Linked DNA regions of Caenorhabditis elegans. The protein of the gene in region 1 interacts with the protein of each later gene in a pairwise test. Each region holds a gene or a part of one and is shown in the gene's direction. Other genes may lie near its edges.

Evidence for each region.
Region 2: the proteins of hmg-20 (region 1) and snrp-200 interact in a two-hybrid assay, tested with the Caenorhabditis elegans proteins (one large-scale study listed by BioGRID).

The regions. Positions count from the first base shown.
Region 1 is NC_003279.8:12,533,544-12,538,478, forward strand, and holds hmg-20 (HMG box domain-containing protein), read left to right. Parts: upstream 1-1,768; 5' UTR 1,769-1,783; coding exon 1,784-2,110; intron 2,111-2,195; coding exon 2,196-2,284; intron 2,285-2,336; coding exon 2,337-2,527; intron 2,528-2,763; coding exon 2,764-3,090; intron 3,091-3,326; coding exon 3,327-3,416; intron 3,417-3,671; coding exon 3,672-3,808; 3' UTR 3,809-4,128; downstream 4,129-4,935. Other genes in the region: W02D9.2 (Protein YIPF), read left to right, coding at 202-347, 470-582; W02D9.4 (Zf-3CxxC domain-containing protein), read right to left, coding at 4,510-4,834.
Region 2 is NC_003280.10:12,733,759-12,738,655, reverse strand, and holds the start of snrp-200 (U5 small nuclear ribonucleoprotein 200 kDa helicase), read left to right. Parts: upstream 1-1,745; 5' UTR 1,746-1,780; coding exon 1,781-2,219; intron 2,220-2,268; coding exon 2,269-3,091; intron 3,092-3,209; coding exon 3,210-4,347; intron 4,348-4,405; coding exon 4,406-4,813; intron 4,814-4,875; coding exon 4,876-4,897. Other genes in the region: pisy-1 (CDP-diacylglycerol--inositol 3-phosphatidyltransferase), read left to right, coding at 330-463, 716-817, 893-1,152, 1,205-1,371. UniProt on the Caenorhabditis elegans protein: Catalyzes the ATP-dependent unwinding of U4/U6 RNA duplices, an essential step in the assembly of a catalytically active spliceosome. Plays a role in pre-mRNA splicing.

The DNA.
Region 1 (4,935 bases):
ATCTTAAGTATTCAGCCCAAAACCTCAATTTTCACCAGAAAACTTCAAAAATTTACGCTAAAAACTGCTATTTTTACCTCGAAATCTCAAAATTTTAGCTTATAAACTCAAATTACACCTGAAAACTTCGAATTTTTTGCCTATAAATGTGTTTTTCCCCCGAAATTTTCAATTTTTCACTCAAAAATCCCAAATTTTCAGCTCATTCTTCCAATCTCTATGCGTCATCGGCTATTGCCTTCTCCCGCCGTTCGTCGCCGCCGTTCTTTGCTCACTTTTCCTCCATGGAATCGCTTTTCCGCTCCGGCTTCTCATCACTTCCATTGGATTCGTGTGGTCCACTTATGGTGGGGGTTTTCAATTTTTTCTGAAAAACTCGAATTTTAAAAATTTCTACCGCGACGCGACCGCTTCGCGCGCGGCTTTCATGAATTTTCCAAAATTGTCCAATAAAATTATCAAATTTCAGCATCGATGGGATTCTTGGCAGGATGTCAGCCTGACAAAAAGCGACTTCTCGTCATTTATCCGGTGTTCCTGTTCTATTTCGTCGTCAGCTGGATGATCATTTCACATTCTTGAGCTTTTTAAAGAAAAAAATATAGATTATTTATTCCCCTTTCAACTCGTGATATTATGCATAACATCCGTCATCATCGCTTTTGATTATAAACTACAAAAAACTGTGATTTTCTACTGTAGCTTTCACTAATTCTCCCCCTTTCTACTCTCTAAGAGCCATAACAAATTTTTTTGTCTCCTCCCTCACGATTGATGTATTTATTTGAACGAAGAATAATTGATTTATGCAATTTTTTCAGTGAAAAATGAGAGAAAAAAGATAAATTCAGAATATTAAAAAATTCAAGCCGCGATGCGACCGCGCCGCACTGGGATCAAAAGGCGCGAGTTTAAATTTCAAAGAGCGATTTTTAAAGTTTTTCAAAAAATACTAAATACATAATTTTCTTTTTCAAAATTTTATTAATCTCATCGCATTTTTCTTCCGTACAGCTGCCGTCTTTTTCTCTGCGCTCTCTCGCGTCTTCTATGCTCACTCTCACATTCTGCGTCTCCGCCGCGTCTCGTACTCTCTCGCTAGTCCTACTCACACGTTTTTCACTTGTTTTTTTGCCTAAATTAACGGATTTTGCCACTTTGTCATCGATTTTCAGCGAAAATCTATAGCCGCATCGTGCTTGGCGTATTTCTTTGACTCAGTAGCTTGAAAATCCCGAAAAGTTTCGGAAATTTTGATCCTGGATCCAGGATCCGCGAAAAAGTGGATAAGATTTTGTTTTTTAAGGGTAGCAATTCTAAAATCTAGAGAAAATAGATGGAAAAATTGATTTCCAAGCTATTTCTCACTTAAAAATCAAGAAATTTGCGAAAAGTTTCCAATTTTGCAGAAAAAATTTTGGAATTTGAGCTACATTTTTGATTTCTGGATATTTTTCGCAATTAAAGTATTAAGATTGTCTAATTGGAGAGGTGTGAACGTAGAAATTTGAATTTTGCGAAATTTTACTGCTAATTAGCTTAAGTTTACAAAAAACACCTTATGTACGCCGGGCGCGTTGCGGTCGCGTCGCGGTCTATTTGAAATTTTATGATTTTTCGAGTTTTTAGAAAAAATTAATGCTTTAATTGAAGATTTTAAGCAAAATTAGTCGTGGGAATTATCACAATTTTCTCCTCGCGTTGCGGTCGCGTCGCGGTTTTCTCAAATTTTTTGTTTCTGAAAACCACTATTTCCCTAAAATATTATAGATCTCCAACAAAAATGCGCCCAAGAAGGTCCGACTCCACAACGGGTCCCGCCGCGAAATCACTTCCCACCTCCGACGTCGAAGAGGATGAAGCTGCGCCGGATCTCAAGGCAGAATCCGAAGACGTGACGTCATCAGAGGAAATGCAGAACAAGAATCCCGTCAGTGCTCCAGAAAAACGGGCAAAAACCGCCTCATTTAGCCCACCGCCCGCACTTTCGCCCGCCCACTCAATCCAAATGGAAAACGAGGAAATCGAGGTGAAAATGGAGGTGGATAGTGATGAGGAGGAGAAAAAATTACCAAAAATCACTGAAAAACGAGCCAAAATGGTGTATAAGGTGAGACAAGCCTGCACGAGAAACGCGCCAACGTCCAGCTGGTGCATTTCTCGATACCGTACTTCAAAATCCTCGTTTTTTGCAGAAAAAACCCGAAAAAGAGAAAGAAGCAGTGCCATTTATCGATCCAAATGCTCCAAAAAGAAATCGATCTGGATATGTGCATTTTATCATGTAAATTATCGATTTTTCGCGAGAAAATCCCGAAAATCCCCAATTTTTTCAGACATCGCCGAGCTTCATACTCAAAAGCCGTGATGTCACAGAGAGAAATTAATATATCGCTTGCGGCGGACTGGCAGAAGCTTACCGCCGAAGAACGTATCCCGTTTCAGCAGAGAGCCGACGAGGAGAAGGTCAAATATTTGGAGCTGATGGAAGAATACAAGAAAACTGACTCGCATAAGGAATTTCAGAGTTCGTTGTGCTAAAAATCGAGTTCTCCGCAGTTTTTTACCTGTAGGAAGTATAGGAAGCGTTAATTTTGACAACTTTCGGGTTACGGTAGCCCCAAAAGTACGTAAACACCGTACACTCTACGCAAAAATGCACAGAAATTAAAAATTTTGCCAAAACCGTCTACATATGGGTAAAAAGGGTCGCTGAGCTCGATTTTCACATTAAAAACCGCTAAAAATCTCATTTTCTTGCAGAAAAACGTGCAAAATTCCTGTCATCTCAGTCAAATGGCTCGAAAAATGCGAAAAAACGACGGCAAGCAGATTCTGACGACGACACGCCAAACGTGCAAATCCCCTTCCCGAAACCATCAGTTTTTTGTCCACTTTTGAGCCCAGAGCCTGCCACGTCATCATCCACATCAGGCCTACAGTACTCTGGGCCGATTTTTACGCCGGAATTTATGACCTACAACAAGACACGGGACACCTACCGTAGGCAGCTGGCTATTGAGAGATCCCATGTGGAGCATGAGCTCGAGGCGCTTCATCAGCACGATATGGACGTTCGAATTGAGCAACGTACGGCCTAGAAACCCAAAAAAAAAAGTTTTGTGGCCGTGGCCTAGAAAGCAGCAAATCTCGAAAAAACTAGCCCACATTCTTTTCTCGACAAGAAAATGTTTAAAGTTTTTTTCTGAGAAAAAAAAATGAAAAAACGGAAAAAAAATTGATGGAAAAATTATTTCGTGCCCGTGGCCTAGAACTTTGAAATTTTTAAACAGTTAGGCCACCACTCAACAAGTTTTTTTTTGCAGAAGAGACACGAATCCGAGAAGCTGACGAGAAAATCGAGGAGACGATGGCAAAAATGCGTACGGTGCTCGCCGCGGTTCCCGGTGCAAAAGGTGAGATTCGAGGCCGTAGCCTAGCAATATGGAAAGTTAGGCCACCACGAGAAATGTGATGGCCTAGAAATTCAGATCTCGGAAAAGTTTGGTCATTAATAAAAATCGCCTAATTTGGTCATTTTTCGTCATATTTCTCAAAAATTTACGTGGCCTAGAAAACCAAATTCCGCAAAAATTCGGCCACTGCTCCAATTAGGCTATCTTAGCCCGTTTTTCATCATTTTTTTTTCTCAAGATTTCAAATTTTTCCAGATCACCTGACCTCAATTGACGCACTGGCCACGTGGCTCGAGTCTCTGACCCATCTCGGAGCCCAAAATTCGACGAAAAAAAGTGTCAAGGAGGCGGTGAACAAGAACGCAAAATCCATCGTTCAAATGAAGAAATAGCCGAATTTTCCCTGTTGAAAATCAATAAATTACCCACCCCCGCCTTTTTTTGAACCATAATTTCTTGTGCATTTTCCCAAAGTTTTATATCAATTTTTTTCAATATTTTTGGTCTTTCGTTTTATATTTTTCAGGGTTTCCTTCTTCAACTCCTTTAGAAAATTCAAATTTCCCGCCTAAAAATATCGATTTTCCATGTGATTTTTTTTCCTAGCCCCCGCCCTCCAAAATTTGAGCTCAAACATGATTTCTTTGATTTATTTTTCAATATTTTTTTATTTTTATTCGAAAATGTTTTCTAATATGAATTTTATATGTTTTGAAAGTGTTTAGTTTTTTTTGTTAAGAAAAATCGCTAGAAACATGTAAAAATATAATTTTGCACAAAGTCGTGGTGAGACCCGTCGAAAAAGTTCTGCCATGCGCCTTGAAAATGCACCGTAGTTTTTATTGACTTTTTCGATAAAAAAGCTCCCTGTGGGAAGAATCCGAACAAGAAAAGCAAAATTTCTTTCAGATTAGGAAAAAAGCACTGCATTTTTAAATAAATTACTTGAGAAAGAACGTTTATAAATAGTAATTTCAAATTCAACAACAACAAATTTGTGAACAAATACAGTGAATAACAGGAAAAAACAAAGAAAGTTGAGTTAGAATCAGGAAGGAAGCGAATATAAATGATATCTGGAATTATGTGAAGCTTATAAAAGCAGGGATTCCGGCTTCTGCTCCTCCAGCTCGATTTTGACCTCACTATCCATTTCTGATTGGATTTTAATACCATGCGCGGCGAGAAAATTTGACGACAAATTCTTGGAGCTTTTATTGGCGTCTTTTTTACTCCGGGAGCTGCTGCTTTGCGCGAAATATTCGAAACTTTTCATGACTTCCTCGTGCGATGTAGATTCTGACTCATTTTGCTCGAGAAATTCGAATTCTGGAAGGATTGACAGTTTTCCGCGTTTCAAATCCGTTTCGAGCACTTTCTTGACTGAGCGGAATGTTTGACATCCTTTTTGAATGCATCTGAATTTAGAAAAATTAACAAAAAATTAATAAAACAATTTTTGTTTTCCAGAAAACTGAATTTTTTTCTCAATTTTCCGGAAAATCAAAGAAATTTTTTG
Region 2 (4,897 bases), on another chromosome or scaffold:
GGCCATATGCAAACTGATTCTCGAAAAAAAATCCCAGTTCTCTTAATTTTTCCCATTAATTCTCCTCATTTACGCTTCCAACTCCTACATTTTTGCCTTAAAAGCTTTCCATCTTATTAGCTAGCCAAATGAAGCGAGAATAAACAATTTCTAGCTCTTCTCTCATCTCCAACCATCTGCGTCTCCGCTCTCTTCCCATTTTCGAAAATGTCTTGCTTTGGAGCAGATGGACCGTTGTCAAGGCATTTTTTATCGCTTTTTTTCGTTTTCCCGTGTTTTCAATCGATTTCTCGTTCTCATTTATTCAAAAACAATATTTTCAGCTTAAAATGGAACCGACAGCCGCCGAGAACAACAACAATGTGTGGCTATTCTACCCGAATCTCATCGGTTATGGACGCATAGTACTCGCCATTTTGGCCATGTACTACATGTCGTCAGCGCCATGGTGTGCAATGTTCTGGTGAGTTTTGGCGAGCTGGAAATCGATTTTTGCATCAAAAATTAGCTAATATCCATGTTTACTACTACTTTTCATCTCTTTTTCACTGAAATGTCGAGTATTTTTGCGATGCATGGTAAAGAAATCAAGGTGACCAGGTTTCTTTTCAATTTTCCCCCATAATTGAAGAGTTACAATGCCATCTGACAAGGTTTTTCAGAAGAAAAGTCCTGAAAATTAGATTTTCGTAATTAAAATTTCTCATAATTTCAGCTATGCACTCAGCGCCGGACTCGACGCGTTTGACGGATGGGCGGCACGGACCTACAATCAATCGAGCCGATTTGGAGCAATGCTCGATCAGCTCACCGATCGGTACGTTAAAATTTCTCAAATATGCTGGAAAATTCGAGAAAAAAATTGGATTCGGTAAAATTCTCATATTTTCAGCTGCGCCCTGCTGGCCTTGGTGATGGCGCTCTGCAAGTTCTACCCGGATCACTTGTTCCTGCTTCAACTGTCGGCCGTAATCGACATCGCATCTCACTGGCTTCACCTTCACGCCACTGATCTCTCCGGTGCCACGAGCCACAAGCAGTCTTCGAATTGGCTTCTGAACCTCTACTACACGGATCGATTGTTCCTCGGATTCATGTGCGGCGGAAATGAGGCTTTCTACATTTTGCTCTACATTCGCGCGTTCTGGGCTGGTAAATATTTGATTTATTTTTGCTATAATTTATTAATTCCTCTAATTTTCAGGACCACTGATCTTCAACTTCCACTTCATGTCGATCTTCCCACTCATCGCCTTCCCGATTGCCTTCGTCAAGTCCGCCATCTCCGTCGTCCATCTGTACACTGCCGCCGAGATGGTCGTTGCTCACGATGTGAAGCTCCGTGTTGAGGCTGCTCAGAAGGCCCAATGATCTCCGGATCTCCCCGAAGTCTCCAAGATTCTCCTCTGATTCCCCATGAGCTTTTGTATACACATTCCCCACTACTTAATTCACGAGCTTTACGCTTAGCTTTAGTCCTTTAGTGCTCTCGTCTCAGGAAAATGTTTCCGATTTCCATTTAATTCCAAATTTGAACATATTTCTCTGTAATTTTTTTCCCCGTAATTTTTTTTTTCGCAAATTCCCGATGTACTTACTCTGTAAAATAATATTTATTTTGTTTATTTTATTTTCCATTTATTATTCAATTCGAATTGGTTTTCAGCCAGCCGATTTTATCTATTTTCTCTCAATTTTTATTTCTTGTTTTGATTTTTTTAACCTTAATCCCACGATTTTTGCAGGATATTCGACTATCCCGAGTTGACTACAAACTACAATGGCCGACGAGCTAGCCCGAATCCAGCAGTATGAGTACCGGCAGAACTCCAACTTGGTTCTGTCGGTCGACTACAATCTGACGGATCGGCGTGGCAGAGAGGAGCCGACTGGCGAGGTGCTGCCGATCACGGATAAGGAGATGCGCAAAATGAAGATGGGTGACCGGGCGATCAAGGGAAAAGCGCCGGTGCAGGATCAGAAGAAGAAGAGAAAGAAGAAGGACGACGAGAAAGCACAACAGTTCGGCCGGAATGTCCTTGTCGACAATAATGAGCTCATGGGAGCCTACAAGCCCAGAACCCAGGAGACGAAGCAGACTTATGAAGTGATTTTGTCTTTCATTTTGGACGCACTTGGCGATGTTCCACGCGAGGTTCTGTGCGGAGCCGCTGACGAGGTGCTTCTCACGCTGAAAAACGACAAATTCCGAGATAAAGGTGAGGTGAAAATCGAAGATTTTCAATAAAATTTATATTTTTTTTTCAGAGAAGAAGAAAGAAGTGGAAGCTCTTCTGGGACCGCTCACCGACGATCGTATCGCAGTTCTCATCAACTTATCGAAGAAGATCAGCGATTTTTCGATCGAAGAGGAGAATAAGCCTGAAGGCGATGGAGACATCTACGAGAATGAGGGTGTAAATGTGCAGTTCGACTCGGATGAGGAAGAAGATGACGGTGGGATGGTTAATGAGATCAAAGGTGATAGTGAGGAGGAGAGTGAAGAGGAAGAAGGTGTGGATACAGATTACACGGCAACACTCAAAGGAGATGGTCATTTGACGGAAGATGAGCAAAAAGCACGAGGAATTCTTCATCCACGTGACATCGACGCTCATTGGATCCAAAGATCGCTCGCCAAGTACTTCAAAGATCCTCTGATCGCCCAACAGAAGCAAACGGAAGTCATCGGAATTCTCAAGAACGCCGCCGACGATCGTGACGCCGAGAATCAGCTTGTCCTGCTGTTAGGCTTCGATCAGTTCGAGTTCATCAAGTGCCTTCGCCAGAATCGTCTTATGATCCTCTACTGTACACTTTTGCGTCAGGCGAACGAGAAGGAGCGTCTCCAAATCGAAGATGATATGCGATCTCGTCCAGAGCTTCATCCGATTCTTGCACTTCTTCAGGAGACTGATGAGGGATCTGTTGTGCAGGTGGAAAAGTCGAAACGAGACGCGGAGAAGTCGAAGAAGGCCGCCACAGCAGCAAATGAAGCCATCAGTGCGGGACAGTGGCAGGCGGGCCGCAAGATGTTGGATCTAAACGATCTCACGTTCAGTCAAGGATCTCATTTGATGAGCAATAAAAGGTAAATACAATTTTATTTTAAAAGTACGATTTTCCATTAGAAAATTAAGGAAATTTGATTCATTATGCACTTTAAAAGTCCACATTCCCAAAAAACCCTAAAATTCTCAATTTTGCAGATGCGAGCTCCCCGACGGATCCTACCGCCGCCAGAAAAAGTCCTACGAAGAAATCCACGTACCAGCCCTCAAACCACGACCATTTGCTGAAGGAGAGAAGCTCGTCAGTGTCTCAGAGCTCCCGAAATGGGCCCAACCGGCTTTCGACGGCTACAAGTCGCTGAACAGGATCCAATCCCGACTCTGTGATTCAGCTCTTCGATCCAAAGAGCATCTCTTGCTCTGTGCTCCAACTGGAGCTGGAAAGACGAACGTGGCGCTGCTCACGATGCTCCAAGAAATCGGAAACCACTTGGCAGAGGATGGAAGTGTGAAGCTCGATGAGTTCAAGATTGTCTACATTGCTCCGATGAAGTCACTGGTTCAAGAGATGGTTGGAAGCTTCTCAAAACGTCTTGCTCCATTCGGAATCACTGTCGGCGAAATGACCGGAGATGCTCAAATGAGCAAAGAGCAGTTCATGGCGACACAAGTGATCGTTTGTACGCCGGAAAAGTATGATGTGGTGACGCGAAAAGGCGGAGAGAGAGCCTATAACCAGATGGTTCGGCTGTTGATCATTGATGAGATCCATCTGCTTCACGATGATCGTGGACCGGTGTTGGAGTCGATCGTCGTCAGAACGATTCGTCAAATGGAGCAGAATCACGATGAGTGCCGACTGGTCGGACTTTCAGCAACTCTTCCGAATTATCAAGATGTGGCGACGTTCTTGCGAGTGAAGCCTGAGCATTTGCACTTCTTTGATAACAGCTATCGTCCAGTTCCCCTCGAGCAACAATATATTGGAGTTACTGAGAAGAAGGCTTTGAAGAGGTTCCAGGCGATGAACGAAGTGGTGTACGACAAGATTATGGAGCACGCCGGAAAGAGCCAAGTCCTCGTTTTTGTGCATTCCCGAAAGGAAACTGCGAAAACCGCGAAAGCGATTCGTGACGCGTGCCTCGAGAAGGACACGCTGTCGGCGTTCATGCGTGAGGGCTCAGCGAGCACAGAAATCCTGAGAACCGAGGCCGAGCAGGCGAAGAATTTGGATTTGAAGGACCTCTTGCCGTATGGATTCGCTATTCATCACGCTGGAATGAACAGAGTTGATCGTACACTCGTCGAGGATTTGTTCGCTGATCGGCATATTCAGGTAGGGGAATCGAAAATTTCCCGAAAATATTTCAAATCTTCAAAATATTATTTTTCAGGTGCTCTTTTCGACTGCAACTCTCGCTTGGGGAGTCAATCTGCCGGCTCATACTGTAATCATCAAGGGAACTCAGATCTATAACCCGGAAAAAGGACGTTGGACAGAGCTCGGAGCACTCGACATCATGCAAATGCTCGGAAGAGCCGGACGTCCACAGTACGATGATCGCGGAGAGGGAATTCTCATCACAAATCACTCGGAGCTCCAGTATTATCTCTCGCTGATGAATCAACAGCTTCCTGTCGAGTCGCAGATGGTCTCACGGCTCACTGATATGCTCAACGCTGAGGTTGTGCTCGGCACTGTCAGTAGTGTGTCGGAGGCGACGAATTGGTTGGGTTACACTTTCCTTTTTGTGAGAATGTTGAAGAATCCGACGCTTTATGGAATTACACATGAGCAAGCGGTAGGTTAAGCTTGAAATTTTAGCATTTTTCATAGAAAACCCTAAAATTCTCCAATTTTCAGCGCGCCGATCCTCTTCTAGAAC